Linked DNA regions of Arabidopsis thaliana. The protein of the gene in region 2 interacts with the protein of the main gene of each other region in a pairwise test. Each region holds a gene or a part of one and is shown on either strand. Other genes may lie near its edges. The genes, in order: ATPUP13, GONST1, AT1G57980 and MLO10.

What was found.
Region 1: the proteins of GONST1 (region 2) and ATPUP13 interact in a protein complementation assay, tested with the Arabidopsis thaliana proteins (one large-scale study listed by BioGRID).
Region 3: the proteins of GONST1 (region 2) and AT1G57980 interact in a protein complementation assay, tested with the Arabidopsis thaliana proteins (one large-scale study listed by BioGRID).
Region 4: the proteins of GONST1 (region 2) and MLO10 interact in a protein complementation assay, tested with the Arabidopsis thaliana proteins (one large-scale study listed by BioGRID).

The regions. Positions count from the first base shown.
Region 1 is NC_003075.7:5,565,248-5,569,340, forward strand, and holds ATPUP13 (Drug/metabolite transporter superfamily protein), read right to left. Parts: upstream 2,212-4,093; 5' UTR 2,040-2,211; coding exon 2,036-2,039; intron 1,833-2,035; coding exon 751-1,832; 3' UTR 526-750; downstream 1-525.
Region 2 is NC_003071.7:5,686,792-5,692,668, forward strand, and holds GONST1 (golgi nucleotide sugar transporter 1), read right to left. Parts: upstream 3,981-5,877; 5' UTR 3,740-3,980; intron 3,527-3,739; 5' UTR 3,513-3,526; coding exon 3,163-3,512; exon of another isoform or gene 2,919-3,162; coding exon of another isoform or gene 2,836-2,918; coding exon 2,706-2,835; intron 2,199-2,705; coding exon 2,100-2,198; intron 1,552-2,099; coding exon 1,397-1,551; intron 1,315-1,396; coding exon 1,198-1,314; coding exon of another isoform or gene 1,194-1,197; exon of another isoform or gene 1,045-1,193; coding exon 947-1,044; intron 846-946; coding exon 793-845; 3' UTR 525-792; downstream 1-524. Other genes in the region: AT2G13640 (Transcription factor IIS family protein), read right to left, coding at 1-499; AT2G13660 (uncharacterized protein), read right to left, coding at 5,501-5,826. UniProt on the Arabidopsis thaliana protein: Involved in the import of GDP-mannose from the cytoplasm into the Golgi lumen. Required for the luminal synthesis of a variety of plant cell surface components. Is required for the correct mannosylation of the glycosylinositol phosphoceramides (GIPC).
Region 3 is NC_003070.9:21,438,697-21,442,809, reverse strand, and holds AT1G57980 (Nucleotide-sugar transporter family protein), read left to right. Parts: upstream 1-1,962; 5' UTR 1,963-2,077; coding exon 2,078-2,117; intron 2,118-2,221; coding exon 2,222-3,366; 3' UTR 3,367-3,604; downstream 3,605-4,113. Other genes in the region: PUP18 (purine permease 18), read left to right, coding at 1-1,110; PUP17 (purine permease 17), read left to right, coding at 3,921-3,960, 4,052-4,113.
Region 4 is NC_003076.8:26,386,890-26,392,685, forward strand, and holds MLO10 (Seven transmembrane MLO family protein), read right to left. Parts: upstream 3,879-5,796; 5' UTR 3,519-3,878; coding exon 3,318-3,518; intron 3,248-3,317; coding exon 3,190-3,247; intron 3,120-3,189; coding exon 2,935-3,119; intron 2,859-2,934; coding exon 2,742-2,858; intron 2,670-2,741; coding exon 2,609-2,669; intron 2,536-2,608; coding exon 2,447-2,535; intron 2,344-2,446; coding exon 2,269-2,343; intron 2,194-2,268; coding exon 2,105-2,193; intron 2,026-2,104; coding exon 1,976-2,025; intron 1,893-1,975; coding exon 1,852-1,892; intron 1,781-1,851; coding exon 1,607-1,780; coding exon of another isoform or gene 1,501-1,606; coding exon 1,465-1,500; intron 1,346-1,464; coding exon 1,278-1,345; intron 1,187-1,277; coding exon 1,126-1,186; intron 1,025-1,125; coding exon 620-1,024; 3' UTR 539-619; downstream 1-538. Other genes in the region: AT5G65960 (GTP binding protein), read left to right, coding at 1-308; AT5G65980 (Auxin efflux carrier family protein), read left to right, coding at 5,555-5,689, 5,781-5,796.

The DNA.
Region 1 (4,093 bases), on a different chromosome or scaffold from region 2:
TTTCTATTTCCAAAAGAACTGGAGTTACATCTCTTTTCCAATTACATTCAAGAGTTTCTTATGTGATTCCACACTCTTTAAGACCTCGAAAATTTGACAAATTCCCTTTTTTTAGGACCACTTGCAAGATAACAAAAAAAAAAGGAATGATTACCACACGATTAACTATTTTATTTATGAATTTCATAGTAGTAGAAATACTTGTCTTAGCAAAACAAAATTTGTAGTAGACATAGTAGCAGTTTTCGGAAACGGACCTCTCCTGAAGGTAATTTTAATGTGGAACCCGCTGCTCTAGCTAATTGTCCACCTTTTCCGAGTGTGATTTCTATTTTATGTATGGACGTGCCTAAGGACATATTGGTAACTAGATTCTTCTTTTTGATCAATCAAAACCCCTTAATAACCATCTTCCTCTTTGATGAAGAAGCTTTCAAAGTTGAATCATCAACATGTTTATTGCTTTCAACCATGTTTGTTTCAAGATCAGCAACATCATGATCTTCTGAAACAACATGTGTGTCTCCGAGATTCTCGATGAATCCACCATTATACTTAACCTCATACGTTGATCTATTACGTATGTAGATTCTGCATAGAACTTTGGCCCGTAAAAACAAGCTCCATATGCAATTAGTATTATGTATATTATCACCGGATTATGAACTCTACTATATACAATACAACACTTGTAGCTAGCTTGTTCTAAGAAAGGTTACTAACAAAATTAACTAATAAAACACAGCAGAACTATTCAGCCTGAGCTTCTCGTGCTCTTTGTACTTTCAGGTCATCAAGATAATTCTGGTAGATATAAAACCCGAACCCCATGAAGGCAATGAGCATCGCGACCATCTTAACCTCAGTCAGCTTGTCGTGGAACACCGCAATGGCTGCAAGAGGCGTAACAATGAGTGAGAGTGTACCAATAAGGTTCGAAAACAGCGAAGAAACCAGAAATATAAGCGCCACGGCTCCTACAGAACCCAATTGCCACGAAACCGCGGTCCCAACCAAAGTCAAAACATAAATGACTTGACCCTCGTGAAACTCTTCCATCTCCACACTCAACAACATCCATTCCCCGCTCGCAAACAACCCGATAACCGCAACACAAGAAGCCACAAGCGACGTATAGATTTGCATCTCGAGAACCATAGAGAACGTCTCACTCTTGAGAACATTCTCGAAAGAAAACTGCATAAGAGAGAGCTGAAGAGAATAGATAAGAGAAGCAAAAACAGTACATAAACAACCAATCAAGTAACTCCACTTAGAATCTCCTGATGGGCTATTGGAATCATCGTCAAGAGAAACCAACACAGCAGAGACAGAGAGAAACAACACAGAGAAGAGAATCAAACAAGTGATTTTCTGAGAATTGATGTAATAAGAGAAGACACCATTGAAAGCTAACTGTGAAGAACAAAGAATCGAATAAGTTGAAGCAGAGAGATACAAAAGACCAAAAGAGTATAAAAGATTGTCTAAACCAATAGCAAAACCAAGAGAAAGATAAATCCAAACCAGAGTCTTGAAAGAACAAGAAGATGAAGAAGAGTGTGAAGCAGGAAGGAAACAAAGAGGGAGATAGAGAATCGGAAAACCACAAGTTTGGACAAGAGTAGAGATCCATTTACTGTTTCCACCTTCGTTGTAATAAAACCGACCAAGAAGAACAGCAATGGCTTGTGCAGAGATGAGGAAGAAGATACTTATAAAGACAAGAATCCACCAATGGGTTCGTTTTAGTTTCATGAGTTGTGTAGGAACACTAGTTCTTCTTGTTCCTTCATCTTCTTCCTTTAGCAGTAACATTGCTTCTTCTTCATCTGTTACCCAAAAGAAAAAAACACATAAAGTTTTCATCTTTTAAGAAATTTATCATTTTTATGAAAACCCCAATTTTTTGTTTTTGACAATTTTAATCTGGGGATTAAGAAAAATCTGGGAATTGGGTTTTGACAATTAATCAGTTTATTTCATTTCTAGAATCGAAACTGAAATTGAAGTAAGGAACATTAAAGAGATATACCCATTGTGAAGGAAGATTTGTTGACTGATGGATGAATCGAGTCTGCTTCAGGATTGAGAGACAAGTCTCGTATCTTTTCTCCGGCGAGGACGACCAATCATCTCATAACTCCCTTTTTGCTTGAAGAAAATCTCATATCTTCCCACAAAAAACAGAACCTATTTGTGATTTAATTTAAATACATAAATGAAGGATTTTACCAAGATATCCTCTCACTTTAATTTGAAAACCAAAAAAAAAAAAAATTCAGACTCAACACTTACAATTTTTTCGTTTTTTCCTCACTCAAAGAAACGAGTTCCGAGAGAAACCGCTCTCTCTCTCTCTCGATTCTCTGTGAACACAAACAACTCCTCTCCCTTTCACTCAAATTCTCAACAACACGAACCCTAATTCTCTCTCTTTTCTCTCAGAATCGTTTCTTCTCCTCTAATCCTAACCCTAATGCCGCCGAAAACAATGCCGCCTCTAAAGAAGAGGAAGAGAGGAGTTGGAACGACCGTGAAATCAACGACGGAGGAGACTGCGACGGCAACGAAGGAGACTGCGCCGGCAACGAAGGAGACTGCGCCGGCAACGAAGGAGACTGCGCCGACGATAACGAAGGAGACTGCGCCGACGAAGGAGACTGCGCCGGCAACGAAGGAGACTGCGCCGACGAGGACGGAGGAGCCGTCGCTGACAGAGCAAGATCCGGAGAATGTTGAGGAAGAAGAGAGTGAAGAAGAAGAGAAAGAAGAAGAAGAGAAAGAAGAAGAAGAGGAAGAGGAAGGGGAGGAAGAGGAAGAGGAGGAAGAGGAGGAAGAGGAGAAAGAAGAAGAGGAGAATGTTGGCGGAGAAGAGTCCTCCGATGATAGTACTAGAAGCTTGGGGAAGAGACCTCCGCCGATGAGAATATGGATGAGGAGACATCAACTGCAGTGGAAATTCCGGCGGCTATGGTAAGGATTTCGAGTCAATTCTCAGTCTTTGAATGGTTTGAAACTGGTAGAACAGGATAATACTATGATTTGTGGAGAATACTGTCATTACTAGGATATAGCTATGCGTTTTTGGGTCATACTGTCAATACTAGGAAACAACTACGTGTATGATTTGTGGAGAATACTAGGATATAACTATGCGTTTTTGGGTCAAACTGTCAATATTAGGAAACAACTACTTGTATGATTTCTGGATAATACTGTCATTACTAGGATATAACTATGCGTTTTTTGGTCAAACTGTCAATACTAGGAAACAACTACGTATATGATTTCTGGATAATATTGTCATTACTAGGATATAACTATGCGTTTTTGGGTCAAACTGTCAATACTAGGAAACAACTACGTGTATGATTTCTGGATAATGCTGTCATTACTAGGATATAACTATGTGTATGATTCTATGTACCATCGGTAGTAATATGAATGAATGTCTGTTGCAGGAGATCGACGAGGAAACAGAAGCAGTACCACCCTTGAGTATGTATTTCCCGCCCTCGGAATATGTGAAGAAAATCAAGCTTTCAACTCGGTGCTATATTCACGAATTGTTGACTACATTCGATAAGTTGGAGCCGCCGATGAGCAAGTCCGAGAGGTTATGGTTTGAGAACCATCCTAGTTTCCAACATATCTTCCACATGCCAAGAGACCCGAACCACCGACTTATGGGGATGTGGATGCTCCTTCTTCGCACGGCGCGCATTGAAAGGAAGAAAGAAGCGTGGTTCATCGTCAATGGCGTTCCAATCCGATATGGAATATTGGAACACGCATTGATATCGGACTTCAATTGCAAGAACTATAAACTTGGTTACAAAAATACGGGGAATTTGGATTTCAAGAGGAAGCATTTCAAGGATACTGTTGTGAAACGCGAAGACGTGAGAGAGAAGCTCATAGGAATGGTACCGGAGGGTGAAAGATCAAAAGAAAGGTTGAGGATGATGGTCTTGTATTTCTTAAGCAGCATTATCATAGCGCCTATCAAGACCGGAGATAAGGCACCTCAAGTGGATGAATTTTTCCTCAAGGTGATGAGTGATCTCACGTTCTGTAGGAATTTTCAGTG
Region 2 (5,877 bases):
TGATCGTTGTCTTACTCTCTACTGCTTCAACAGTCGTCTGAGATCTCTCGTCTTCTTTATTCTTCAACACCGAAAAGGCAGTGACTTGACGAGCCATAGTTCCCGGTTCTTCTTTCTTCTTCAACTCCGAACACATTTTTAGAACATGCTTCTTCATCTTCAGACGATCTTTGGTAAGAGCAGCTGTGAAAGAGTTGTCGCTTCCATGTGCGTAGAATGTCTTCAACCATGAATGAAACAAGGCTTGGGCTTCCTTACGGATTCTAGGGTTCCTATGACTTCTCAAAGTCTCCAGTTTAACTATTGATTCAGACAATCGTATATCCTTCACGGAAAGAGACAGAGACTTCAAGTGATTCAACACATCGATGCATCGCTCGACTTCGCATGGGTTCCGTGTATTGTAAGTAGCCTTAATTGCAGCAGCAGTCAAGTCGCATAAGTCAGATCTCTCCTTCGCAATTCTCACTCTCATCATCTTTCCGTCGTTCTTGATCATCAGGTGGCTAGGGTTTTCAGTTTATGTTGAAATCTCATACCATTGAATTTCTTTACTGGAAAATTGGTAAAAACGAAGAAACACATAAACCAACACTTCTCTTACCACTCAAGAATCGATACATTCATTAATATTTTACTAACATTATACAAGTAGAGTGGCGAAAGCTTTTACAAGAAACACATAACGTGCATAGAATTCTGAGGTTATAAACTCATTGCTCTGCTTTAATCAGCTTTTGCCATGTCCTATACTGATTGATGTAGTAAAATGTGTTGTAGATGGTTAGTATTTTAGGACTTCTCCCTCATTTTGGCTCTAGCAAATACAACTCCAGCGACAAGACCTGCAAATTAGGCCACCTCAGGTTTAATAATAATACACAACACAAGCGATATGTGTTCCTTCAAGAAGTTGGAAAAGGGAACTGATCGAGAGAACGCTTACCAAAGAGTATGCTTGCTGAGTTCTGCAAACTGGTCGGTACATTGAAAAGAACGATCCCCGCGATGGATAGAGGTATCTTGTTTAGAGATCCCACCAGGCTATGATTTTGAATAAAGCGAAAGATGTATCTAGTTAGGACTGAACCAACAAAGAAGCAAACATAGGAAAGGGATATATGGAGAAGGCTAGGGGACAGCAACACTCTCTTAAGCAAAGTTTTGAAATTGCTCTATCTCTCTCTAATTTGCTACCTGTATGTTGTTGCTCCAGTTTGATGAAGAAACCACATTGAAGTAAAGCTAATGGCAAGCCCTAGAAGTCCACTAAGTGTCATGACCATCCAGAAACTTGGTAATCGTAGAAGTGGCCTGCACAAATATAATACACCATTTTGTTTTCAGATGACACAAACCATTTTCCATTGACACAGAAATAAGGACAGGAACTCACGTTTGATAGAGATAATCCATCTCGTTGAAGAAATAAGAAAGAAGAAGCCCAAGTGGTAATGAAAGTGTGTTATTAAGCAAGACCATGGAGAACTCGTTCAAGTTTCCAGATTGAGTAACCTGCTTGGCCGTATCCATGGTCTTTCTCAAAGTCAGCTGCAAAACAACAAAATATAAGGCAAGTCAAAAGTGGTGGCAAATTTTATAAGAGTATAGTAGCCTAGCTAACAAGCCAAACACTTGGTTTTTGTTGACAGGATATAGGGATAAATTTATGGGAACCTAACAGTCTAACACTCTCGTTTTTTGACCCAGCAATGGAAAACCTAGTGAGAACTGAGAAGTTGATGGTGTCAATTTGCATTCTTTGCCCAAAGTCTTCTCTTTAACATGCTATTCCTACTTCTAACAACGAGTGAAGTACTCAGGTTACCAGTGACAATGGATTGCAAGCTATAAAATTTTCTAAGGTAACAGAATCTCGGTATCTCGTGAGCATCTTAAAACTCAAAAGCAAGCCAGTATCGTAATGATTATAGGGAAGGCTGTTTAGTTTATTGACTTAGTCTTAACCAAACAGCATGTAATACTCGACATGAAAGCATGGTTTTTAAGTGATCTCCTTTTCATATATGTGTTTATTGTTTCAAATGACTCCTAACATTTTGGGAAAAGAAAACACAAATGATCAAATGTTTACTCACCGAGTACGATGCAGTTAAGAAGCAATTAGCAATCTGCCAAGCATAGCCAACAGCATTGAATGATAGGTCTGTTATTCCTCCAGAAACTGCGGAAATTATCTGCAAATGAAGGACGAAAGAAGCACAGGTTAATCAAAACTTTATCCTCTACTTATTCAAGATCTATACAAAAACAAATAGAATATACATATAACAATGAGTAGCCGTGACAAAAAAACATGATTACATTTCCCTGGCAGACTAATTGTGGAAGCAGTTAAAAACATGTATCTCCAACAGTATTGAAAGGTTAGGCTATGCCACACCACTGAAAGCCGCTACGACAAGTGTAACTGTGTACGCACACAAAAGGGTGGATCACTTATCAATAAGAAGATATGCTTTAGACTTTATTGGTTAAGGTTGATGATCAGAGAGTGCTTTGAGAAAACAAGAGAAAACCAAATCCAAAACAGTATAGAATCGTTGTTTGACAAGGATATCTTTCAAAAACTCCAATCAAAATGCTATCTATGTGCAGCTTGAAATAGGTTCCTTGAGAATAGTTTTTTCTCAGGTACAATTTACAGAATCAGTTAGAAATACTTTTAAAGCAGACAAACATACCATTAAGAAGAGAGCAGCCCACACTCTGTTGTCATGTTGCTTGTTGAACAGATACATCTCACCAACTGCAGTTATCACATTAGTGACATTCTTCAGGACAGTGACCATTGCTACATTGATGTATTTCAAACTGTCAAAGAAAATGTAATTCAAATAGACAATCAAGTTCAATCTGCTCTTCAAACACCGCCTACATACACATATACGATACATATCTATATATCTCGACCTACTGTGAAGTAAATCCAAAATATCTATCTGTTTCACCTAAGTGTCTACACGTTATTTAATCCTCGATCTGCTGTAAAGATGATGTACAGATTCTTATAACTACCTTTAGTACTCCAAAAAGTTGACTTTACTAATTTAGTAATCTTATAGGCTTGAGAATTAAGAGAGCATCGATATATAATTCAACAAACCAACACAAAATAAAGGTGTAGAAACACATTCTTACCTAAACATGCTTGTGATAAGCATACCAACAAAGATGACATTCACTGGAAACCAGACCTTCATCAACCTCAAAGTAAGTGGTTCAGTAGTTATTAGACCCATTAAACTCAAACCAACCACAATGATCACCGAGACAAAGTTCTGGTATAACATAAGGAAGATCCCAGCATTGAAGTTGTAGCTGGAGAGAACAAACTTGTTGACAAGTATCATACTGCATGATGAAATGCAATAAGCTAAACCGGATAACAAAGCCCGGTTATGTATCTTTCTTGGAATTGGTTTATCTCCTCCGGATTTTACTGTCTTCCCATCTTCTAAATCAACTCCATCGTGTTCGTACAATTTCATTGCAAAGCTAAGACCTACCAAAGAAACTAACTTCTTTCAAGCTTATATAACTAGATCCATCATTCTTAACAATACACGCACAAAAAAAGTAACAGTTTTACATAAAAACCAATTCGGTTCCAATTCGCAGCTAAAATCAACTTAAGACGAGATTGGATCAAGCAGCAAAGTTGAGAGTAGCTACACAAGCGTTAATCGGAAGTTGTGTAGAGAATAACGAATTTTACCTCGAAGTTGTCCAAAAGCTCGCGAACTAAAGATTCAACTTCGGACGAGATCTAATTGATGACAAGTTACCGGAAAAAAAAAAAACTATGAATCGGAAGAAGAAGAAGAACATGAAACTTGCTCACGCGGAGGATCTTCGTCAGGTCGTGGTGGAGCTATCTGTGAAATGTTGTTTTGAAGAAACAATGGAAATTAGGAAACTGAAAAGACGAGGGAGAGAGATGGCATTGACCAGAAGAGAAAAAAAAAAAAAAAACTGACCAATTTTCGTTTCTTTCGTTTGTTTATTTATATTAAAATTAAGAGTTTCGTAAGTTAGAGGAAGTTCCATTATGTAAAACAAAATAAATTTTCTCAGTGGGTATTTCAAAATTGACAAACTCATCAACTACTCATGTCAAACATGTCTAAATGAATAAATAAAACTAGTATGTATTTCTTGAAATTAAAAATTATTCCAAAGCGAAAAATAGCCTTTTATCTATAAATACAGAATAATATTGATCATTTTTAAGACAATAAAACAGAATAATACTGATCATATACAAATAGGCCATATACAAATATGTCATAACTATACTAAAATTTAAGAAAATATTAGCTATTTAATACTATCAAACAAATCTCTTCATTGAGGTCATTCAACACAAACATTGTTATTTATAAAAAAAGAACACAAACTTTGTTTGGAGTAACTTTGACAGTTACACGTTAAATATGTTCTCTCCTAAGGTATTGAGCTTATGATGTTATTTTGTTAATTTTCATCATTTTATAGTTATTGGTTATTATATAAATCTCTTATATATTGAGAAGAAATAATAATATAAACATAAATTATCTAATTTAGTTATAATGGTTTGGTACCATATGGTCCAAATCACACAATATGTTGTACAATTTGCTTTTTTGGAAAAATGTCATTTAAATCAGTAGTTTACTATTTTTGTTGATTTAAACTATGAGTTCTGTATCTGGTAATTTAAATTCTCAATTTTTATGTTGATTTTCAATTTAATCACGAATTTTCGTTAATTAAGCAAATTGAGGCACAATTTTTTCTCTTTCGCACCATCAATCGACATAGAGATAAGAGATTATTTTGAATTTAAAGAAGAAGAAGGAATCAAAAAAAGGAAAGAATTCAAAAAAGAAAAGAGGGAAAAATGAAAATCGATTTTGGATTCTAGTGTTTATGATTTAAGAAATTTATAATGATGCGTCTTAATTAGTTTAATCAGTGAGAATTCGTATTTAAATTGATAGTCAGTGCAAAAGTGTACTACTGTTATGTGTCTCTAAACTTGGCAATTTGACACAAAATCTGAATGAATAAAAATAAAAGTTTGGCAATAATGGTCCATTTGCCTTTTTGCTTTGTACCATACCGTTGACCTTTCGGCTTAATTCTTTCCACCAGAAATTTTAGCCTATCTATTTTGACTCTTTGACACAGTCCACTTCTAAATCCACTAGCCATAGCCCAAGTTACTCGAGCACGTAAAATAAAATCCTTTAGGCCCAAAAGAACCAGTGTAGCCAAACGCATGACCATTTTGTTTTTTCCGTAACGCATGACAATTTTTATAACAAAAATATATTCACACTCTAATGTTAACGACACTCATCTTGTTCTTGAGAACAAATAGTTGAATATCATTTTCGTATTATAACATTTAATGAAAAGAGTTTTCTATCTCTTCTCTCTTTCATATCTTTTACAGAGAGGGAGCTCTGTTTTTCTTTTGTAATCTCCGTCTTCAATCAGAGCTTTTTGGTTTGTGTTTTAGATTTCCTGTTTTGATGCCGGTTTCTCTTTCCGACTTGTTCGGATTTACTTTCTTTCTTTCTCTTTTGGTTGCCTTTTGCAGGCTCAAATTAACTCTTCCAATTTCGGGAAGATGAAAATTCCAGAAGTCATCAAATGGATCCTTGTTCATTGAGTGCTTGATTCTTCTCCCAAGTGAAGGTAATTCCTTGCTCCGCCAAAAGGGCTTGTTTAGAGCATCGGTTCTCCTTGGTGGATTGATCAAGTTGATGCGGTTGATTGGGACGGAGTATGAAGAATTGGAGTCTTCGTCTTGTTCTGATGAATATTTCGGGCTAATCGGCTGAGGTTACAAATTCTCGTGATCAA
Region 3 (4,113 bases), on a different chromosome or scaffold from region 2:
CAAATCTTGAGTCCGAGAAGATCGTTGGAGCTAAAACAAAAGAAATGGTGGATCTCTGTTTCTTTATGTATTTTCTTAGTCTTGCTCGGAGATTCTCTAGTCATGCTTCTCTTGAACTTCTTCTATGTTCAAGACAATCGAGAAGATAGTGACCAAGATCTACAATACCGAGGAACATGGTTGCAAGCTCTGGTCCAAAACGCTGCGTTTCCACTACTCATTCCTCTGTTTTTCATTTTCCCTTCACCAAAACAAAACCAAGAAACCACCAATACTCGTTTCCTCTCTTTTCGTCTCATCTTACTTTACATCTCTCTTGGTGTTCTTGTTGCTGCTCACAGCAAATTGTTTGCACTTGGGAAATTATACGCAAACTTTGGCGTCTTCACGCTGATTTCCGCGACTCAGTTGATATTTACCGCTATTTTCGCAGCCATTATTAACCGTTTTAAGTTCACCAGATGGATTATCTTATCGATAATCGGCAGCATTTTGATTTATGTTTTCGGTAGTCCTGAATTTGGAGGAGAGCCTGATGAAAACGAAGAATTCTACAGCATCCAAGCTTGGTTAACTTTCGCTGCTTCAGTTGCTTTCGCATTATCTCTCTGTTTATTCCAACTTTGTTTCGAGAAAGTGTTGGTAAAGACAAAGAGATATGGTAACAAGAAAGTGTTTAGAATGGTCATAGAGATGCAAATTTGTGTCTCTTTTGTCGCAACGGTTGTTTGTCTCGTGGGTTTGTTTGCGAGTGGCGAGAATAAGGAACTGCAAGGCGATAGCCACAGGTTTAAGAAAGGAGAAACGTATTACGTTTTGAGTTTGATCGGGTTGGCATTGTCGTGGCAGGTTTGGGCGGTCGGGCTGATGGGTTTGGTGCTTTATGTTTCGGGTGTGTTTGGCGATGTTGTTCATATGTGTACTTCACCACTTGTGGCTTTGTTTGTTGTGTTGGCATTTGATTTCATGGATGATGAGTTTAGTTGGCCTAGAATTGGTACTTTGATAGCAACAGTTGTGGCTTTAGGATCTTACTTCTACACTCTGCATAAGAGAAACAAGAAGAAGATGGTGGAGCTTTACCAAACAGAGAACAATATTGACGTTTAGTCTCTCATGTCAAATGTTTGTTTCTGTTTCAAAATATGTTGTTGTTCTTCTGAATGTTGTAAGTCAATGTCTAAAACATGTTGTATAGATCTGAAAACTATGGAACATATTTGTTAATTATTTTGATTTGATTTTTTTTTTGTATTTATCTCTTACAATATTTTGTTAATGAGGATTTGTCACTACAATTTATCTCTTACTTTCATCAACAAAGTATTGTAATAACTAATAAATAGATACAAAAAAATCTTTCTCACAGCTGGTTAACCTGGGTTCACAAGTCTTTTCCTATATATAGGCTATAATTTTTACGTTGTAAGAACAAAAACCCTTAGTTTCCTTCCTTTCCTCTAGAGATTTATTTATAACTCTCCTTGGATCTTCAACATGTCATGCCACATTGCCACTCAAGAGAGATATTTTTCACCCTTTTATCTTTTAGCTCTTATGTGTACTTGTTCTTGATTTGGTTCTAAGAGAAACTTTTGTGGTTCTTGAAGGAACCTGTTAGAGATGTAAACTATTTTATGAGATGATCTTATGTTTATGGAGATATATATAAGAGCTTTAAATGATCTTTATGTACTTTTGCTTATTTGATTAATGTTTTTCAATATGTGTTTTAGCATGACCATAAGTGAGTAGTCTAGTCTCTATCATGATTGACAGTTTATTAGGTTAACTTATGTTTAATACATGATTGTTAGGAATAAAATTATAGCCTAGTGATGTCCTCAAGGACCACAACTGATGAGTCGTTTTCAAAGTATACCAAATCTGATCTGTCTAAAGGATCGCATGGTTTTGTATAAGTTTTAGTAATATTTCTAATTATTATAAAGAATTTAATCACCACTAGCTAGTCATTGTTTAATGTGCCTCTCCTCAATCATTCTCAATAATTGGAAAATCTACAGGGAATGAAATTTACATATCTAAATCTTTAGAGATCCACCAGAGAAAACTCATGGAGATGACCGAAGCTTCCAAACATACAACAACACATGGTAACTTCACTGTCTTAACTTCTGTAAAAATTGTTTCTATTCTTATTGTCTTCTTAAAAATAAAAAATAAAAACTGAGAATTCCAAATTTTCTTTAACCAACAGAAGAATCAGAACATGTTCAGAATCCTGAACCAGACCAAGTCTTGAGCCAAAGACAACTGTTGCAGCTAAATCAAAAGAAATGGTGGATCTCTGTTCTAATATGTCTTTTCTTAGTCCTGCTTGGAGATTCTCTTGTCATACTTCTCTTGAACTTCTTCTATGTTCAAGACCGTCGAGAAGATAATAACCAAGATCTACAATACAAAGGAACATGGATGCAAGCTCTGATCCAAAACGCTGCTTTTCCAATCCTCATCCCTCTCTTCTTCATTTTCCCTTCACCAAAACCAAACCCTGAAACCATCAATACTCGCTTCCTCTCCATTCGTCTCATCTTGCTTTACTTCTCCCTTGGTGTTCTTGTTGCTGCTCACAGCAAATTGTATGCACTTGGGAAGTTATACTCAAGCTATGGCTTCTTCATGCTGATTTCAGGGTCCCAGTTGATCTTTACCTTGATTTTCACAGCTATCATTAACCGTTTCAAGTTTACTAGATGGATCATCATATCGATAGTTCTCATTCTTGTGAGCTATGCTTTTGGTGGTCCTGTATTTTCAGGAGAGCCTGATGAAAATGAACATTTCTACGGCATCCAAGCTTGGTTAACTTTCGCTGCTTCAGTTGCTTTCGCATTATCTCTCTGTTTAGTCCAACTTAGTTTCGAGAAACTGTTGGTGAAGACAAAGAGATATGGTAACAAGAAAGTGTTTAGAATGGTCTTAGAGATGCAAATATGTGTCTCTTCTGTCGCCTCGGTTGTTTGTCTAGTTGGTTTGTTTGCGAGTGGTGAGTATAAGGAGCTGAAAGGCGATAGCGAGAGGTTTAAGAAAGGAGAAACGTATTACGTTCTGAGTTTGGTCGGGTTGGCTTTGTCGTGGCAGGTTTGGGCGGTCGGGCTGATAGGTTTGGTGCTTTATGTTTCGAGTGTTTTTAGTAATATTGTTCATATGTGTGCTTCACCACTTATGGCTTTTATTGTTGTGTTGGCATTTGATTTTATCGATGATGATTTTAGTTGGCCTAGAATTGGTGCTTTGATAGGATCAGTATTGGCTTTAGGATCTTACTTCTACACTCTGCACAAAAGAAACAAGAAGAAGATGGTGGAATTTAACCAAAGTGAGAACAATGTAGAAGTTTAGTCTCTCATGTCAACTGTATATTTGTGTTTCTCAATCTGTTCTTGTTTCTTTTTCTGATTCTTGTAAGTCAATGTCCAAAATATGTTGTATAGATATGGATCAACTGTGTAATTTATTTGTTGATTGTTTTAGTTTGATTTTTTTTTCTCTGTTTTGCATTTATTTGTAATTTTAAATGTTTTAAGTCTGAAACTATAAAATTTATAACCTCCAAAATATTAATTTTATTTTGATCAAATTGTTTAACTTATATTTTGTTAACAATTAAAACAAAAGTTTCTATAAATTAATAAAATATCATGTTCCAACATTATTAATTTATAGAGGTTTTAATGTACGTTTAAATTAAGTAATTAACCTTGTGTAGCGGTGTATAATATATACAGTAATACCTTTCCGGGTTTTGACTAGTACCAACTCTGATCTGTCAAAAAGATTTCGTACGGTATAGTGGAAAGATCTTTTCTAATTGCAAGATAGAACTAGTCATTCCACAGAGAATGAAATCTGCATATTTAAGGGTGTTCAGACTTCAGAGGTACCAGAGAAAACTAATGGAGATGTCCAAAGCTTCCAAACAGACAACAAGACATGGTAATTATTTCAAATTCTTATCATAAGTTTTATAATATTGTTTCTGTACTCGAAAACAAAATAAAAACTAAATATTTTCTTTAACAACCAGAAGAATCAGAACACGTTCAGAATCCAGAACCAGACCAAATCTTGAGTCCAAGAAGATCGTTG
Region 4 (5,796 bases), on a different chromosome or scaffold from region 2:
TCCATGTAGAAAATAGTATGGTGAAACCGAATAAAGTTGATGAAGAGCTGCTGCCGTCAGGGTCAAGGTTAGAGCTGCAAAATGACACTGACAGAGCAATAGTAACAGATGAAAAACCTTTGGGCACAGAAAATGAAAAATGTTACGAGTTTGAAGATGTGGAACAGTTGATGTCAGAAATAGGAAACATCCGGGACAACTTGCGATTGATGCCTGATTTCCAGAGGAGGGAAATAGCTGCAAATTTAGCGATGAAAATGGCTTCCATGTTTGGAGGTGACACTGATGACGAGGAAGAACCTGAGTGAGTCTGTTTATATCAGATATTGTAAAAGATCAGCGTGAGCTACGGTTTAATCCTTTCTTTATACAATCTTTATCAAAGTCCGTGTCTTGTTTTTTGATAGATTCTGGCAGTAATAGTCAGTTGCACGATGTAATACTTATCTGGGCCGACCTGTTATGTATCGCTTTACTTTTTCTTTAGATACGTAAGAGCTCTAAAATACAGCCTTATACAGAAAACCTAGTTGGTAACACTTGGCGAAGCAATTGTTGGCATACATGTAATAGAAAATAAAGACCGGATGATGGATTTGTTCTGCATTCATTTTGAATATTAGTCAATATCATTAGCAGGAACGTTCTTCACAAAGGAGAATTGGTTTCCAGGACTAATATCTCCAGTATATTCTATCTCTGTGTTCTGATCACCAACCCTGACGAGAGTGTGCCCCTCTATTGGTTCAGGGGATAATGGCTCAGCTTCAAGATCAGACATGCTTTGGTCCTCGAAATTACTCATATAAGAGGCTGTCGAGTGACCAGTGGTCTTGGAGCGGAGTAGAGTGGCTCCAGAGGCGTGAAAGGATGAGGTAGAGGTGCTGACAGTGTCAGAAACACCAAGGGTCTCTGTTGGTGGCTTTCTCGCTTTGCCTTTCTTCTTCTTCACAGTCATGTGCCATTTCTTCAACGCTTTTGCCATTTGCTCATCAAACACAGCTTTCTTCATGTTTGAACCCATCTGCCCACAACAACAACATAAGTTTGTTGCTTAGTTACTACTATATAGCTTCGTAGACACAAATATCTGGAGAGTAAAGGCTGAAATTAGGATAAATGTACCTGAGTAACTAGTGCATACAAAGGAAGTGTGATGTAGCTGCACAAAATCAAAGCTCCAACGCTGCAAATTTATCAAACTTGTTGAGCTAATCGTTCCAAGAGAGATATATCTATTAGTTTATTCACTAGAGAAGAATAAGAATAAATTTTACCCTAGAGAGAGTTTTACGATGACTAGTTTGAAATCCGTGTGAAAGCAAGATTTTAGCCCAAAGGAATACTGCATGCCAAATTAACGAAATGTATCAAGTCATTTGTATCAATAGAAGAGAATATGTACATGGTCCAAAAGGCAAACAACTAGTGTATTGCGCATAGAATATAGAGAGATGTTGTTACCCAGACCCAGAAGAAGTATGTTAGCTGGAAAGCATTCTATACAAAAAGAAGGAGCATTTAGACAGCATGGCACAAAAGTTGAAGACAAGTATATGTAACATGCAATGGTAGTTTTGTTTGGAACTGAAAACAATGCAAGTACCTGAAATAAGGCGAAGTGAAGAAGATGAAGTAGCAACTGAGGGCGATTAAACCAAAAGTACTTATCTGAACCATGCACGAGAGGTATCCCTTGAACAACTGCGTGTCTCTCCGTGATTCCCAGAGCCATTCTTGTTAGGATCGCTTGAAGCTTCGTACTGACAGCTAGAATGATCTGCAAGGGGTTGTAAAAATGAGACATACAAACACAGTATAAGATTCGCTCAAGAGTATAACTTGTCTTACAAGTACAGGTAGGATTGACGCCCAAAACAATGCTTCCCAGCCTAAACAGGAATGGGATTATTTATTCAGTAGAACAATAACCAATGGCTTGGTAAAAGAGCAAGCAAATGCAAAGCTGACTCACCATTAACATTCAGAAGTAGGAAAATTACAAATGATGCCCACAAAAGAGGACTGCACAGTACAGTATCAGCAATGTCAACAAACACCTCTCAACGCAGTACTAGCTCTAGCACTGTTTTGTGCTACGTACCTTATTCCAACTACCACCTTGAAATCGTCTTCCAATGATCTTTTGATATACTTCTGGAAGTCGAACTTTCTTCCTGGAGCTAAATGGGCCTAAAGGAGACTCACCCATAAGCATCACACCATTAGTGGAAGGCAAATACAAGAGAGAATTGAGTTTTGCCTTACAGCGATGAAGCCATGGCGCAGAGTTAAGTAGTCAGTCCTCCCTACAGATCGGAAAAACTGCTGTAGGAAGCACCCCTGTAAATCAGATGGTTGAGAGAGCGAGCAAAAATCAATTTTTAATCAACAAACTTGATGCCACGAGGGCATGCTCAAGAAGAAGTAAATGCATGCTTCTCACAGCATAAAAGAAGAAGGGGATTTTTGTCCAGAAACTGGAATGTTGTCTAACAAAGGACGTCTCATGAGTGAGTCTGAATCTTGATGGATCTATGCATAGAGAGGAGCCACTTTAGTGACCTATAAAACAAAGGTTTAATTTAATGAACAAGAACTCGCCTACCGATTGAAAACTCGTAATCATGAGAACATGTCTCCTGCTCCCACTTTTTCCAGCCACGGATCTGCAGTTACAGAAAATGATGAATAGCTAGGATTACGAAAGTTTGAGATAAGAAAATCAGGGCTTGTCGTACCTTGAGTCTGCCAAGCATCATGGTGATGAAACTGTAGAGGATATGAAAGGCAGCCATGAAGAACAATAGAATGTGTAGCTGGTGCAAACCCGTGGCAGGTATGAGTGGTTCATGACCCTGCGGACAACAAAAAAGTGTTAGAGAGATAGAGCTAGAGCGTAAATTTTTTAGTACAAGGGAAGCTAGAGATGACCTCATCGCAGCGGGAAGAGGTCGTAGCAGCAGCTAGACGTCTGCGGTGGGTCTTGTCTTGGTCATGAGTAGAAGGAGCTGGACAAGGTAACATAGAGGCTGCAGCCTTTTCAGGAATACAAATCTTGAGAATGTACTGCTCTCCGAAGGTGAGCAACAAGGAAATGAATCCTAGAATCATCAGCTCTGCATCCATTTCATATATCTTAGTTTTCTTAACCAAATACGGTAGGAGAAAACAATTCTCTGGTCTTACCCGCCTTTATTTTCTCCAAGGCTTCAAGCAGAGAGTTCTTATGTTTCTCCCACAACCACTGAGAAATAAAATAAAAGTTTAGAGGGCGGAAGTAAAGGAAGAAAGAAAAAAGGGAATTCAGGGCAAACCGTGGCAACTCTGTGAAGAGCCTTCTCGAGGAGGACGGAGACAAGAATGAAGAAGGTACAGACGAGGGCAACGGCCCAGGTGGGAGTTTGGGAGAGTCCTTTCTCTTTGGCGCCGCCTGCAGAGGAAGCTCGGGCAAAGCCGGTAAGCAGCTGAGAGCAGAAGAGCAAAGTGGTCCAACACCAAAAGCATCTTGTGGCCATGGTAGCCAAAAGAAGAAAATCCCTTGGTCCTTGATTACGTACGTGAAACAATGAAGAGGGCAAATAAATGCGGTGTTGACTGAAAGTCCGTTTACTGTGATATGTAATGCATAACAATAAATTATGGGAAGAGAATCAATCGTCAATGTTTGTTTGACACTGGAGGTACTTGAGAACAATCAACCTAATAACACTCCTCCATGTCTCTTTTCGAAACCCAACCCTTACAGTAGTCAACAACAAACTAATGTCACTGTTGTGGCTCTATATATCAAAACTAAATGACAATTTGATCCCCTGTGAGAGATCAGAGGGGTAGAAGAACAGAATCGTCCAACACACTCGTCAGTTTGACTATTTGGTTATGCTTTTATGATTGCTTTCCCCTTTTAGTATTTCCACTTTTAGTTAAATATAACCCAACTTGCAACTTTAGAGATATAGAATGTTATCTTACTCTTGGCCGTTGCTCCACTATCTACCACCTTTATTTATTTTTTCTTTTCTTTATGTACCTACAATTTTTTAAATGCATGGAGGAATCATCACTTTCTCAGCCTGGGATAACTAATATGATTATAACAAAAGGCTCCTCTTTGTCTCTATCAAGTTTCTTCCCTCTTTTTAGTTTCACGTAATCCGATCATGTTGTAAAGTTTCTTTGTAGAAATATATATTTTGACAATGATAAAACTAAATGTATTAGAAATATATCTTCATTTGATCATCTATCGTTGATCATATGAATAATTTGGAAACAAATGGACAATGAGCTAAGCCCATATATAGGCCTCACAATAGCTGCCTCATACATACATACCATGGGCTCTTTTAGGCCTATCTACTTCTTTGTTATATGATCGAAATCAAAAGGTGCCCTTGTGTAGACACGCCATTTCCTAGTCACGCAACTATCTTATCTCCCGGACTTGTTCTACCACAAAACCTGGTCTCATCCTTCTTACCGTTTTCTTGTTTAAACAAATATTTGACTCTCTTACTTTTAATTTATTATAATCATCAGCACACGTAATTCTCCGAGACATACAAGCAAACGACGGTTTCCTCTTCCTCATCTTGGTTTTAATCCCACAAGTTTTTTTTAGCATATCACTTATTTTTTGATTGGATAAATAAATTCGAACAAGATACTGTGGAGTTGTAAAGAGGAAACAGAGGAGATGTGCAGGATGAGATTATTTTCCCCAAATTACAATGCAACTGTTTTCCATGTGTGCATATGTGATATGTGCAGGGTTGGGATCAGTCAACTTAGCAGAGTGGCTTGTGAAAGTCACACATATCACAGTTGACATTTTTTTTATTGATATTTGTAATAAAGTAGAGAGTATGAGCCTATGAGGAGCATTGTGGACTTGGCATAGCAATCAGCTTGGGGGTCAAATTCAAGAGATGTTTTGTATCGTGACTTTATGTTAGGTGATAAAGACAAATAATATTATGATTAAAAGGTCAAGTTTGGCCACTTTGAAAAATGTTAGTTTGTTAGTTGTGACTCATGTGCTCGAATATCCATGGATAGTTTAAATACATCTCTCTAGCTAGAGAAAAAGAAAGCGGAAATAAAGATATAAAAATATTTGGAAAGAAAGATACTGGGAGCAATTTAGCTACAGCATGACGATGAGTCTTACTTTGATTCTGTCAACATTATTAACCTGAGACAATCCCAAAAGTCTTTCGTCCCAATATTGAATCTTCTAATTTTGATATCTATGTGATTTTGCATATGCACTACCTGAGAGACCAACAGTACCTAGAGGCCAACTTGTCCTTTTTATTCACCTTTCTTGCATGACTTTTCCTATGTTGAAAAGTTAGACTCCTCTTTTACACTTCATGTACCCCACTCCTATACGTATTTAATCTAAATATATATACCCACCAATCCTCTCCATCTACACAAACAGCCCAAATATCAAACCTTTCATCTCTATATCTTTAACCTTGACTGCTTCTCTTCTTCTACAAGAAACCAGAAAAAAAGAAAAGAAAAGAAAAAGAAGAGATTAGGGATGGGTTTCTTAGAGTTGTTGGAGGTGGCTTCAATGCCAATCGTTCAAGTTCTTCTTATCAGCGTCCTTGGCGCTTTCTTGGCAACCGATTACTGCTCTCTTCTCTCTGCTGACACCCGAAGATCCGTGAACAAGGTCAACCTCCGTCTCTGCTTTTCTTTTTTCTGTTTGGTGTCAACTATGCATGCATTCATATATCATCACTAACAAACATTTTCCCTCGCAGCTCGTCTTCGTGGTAT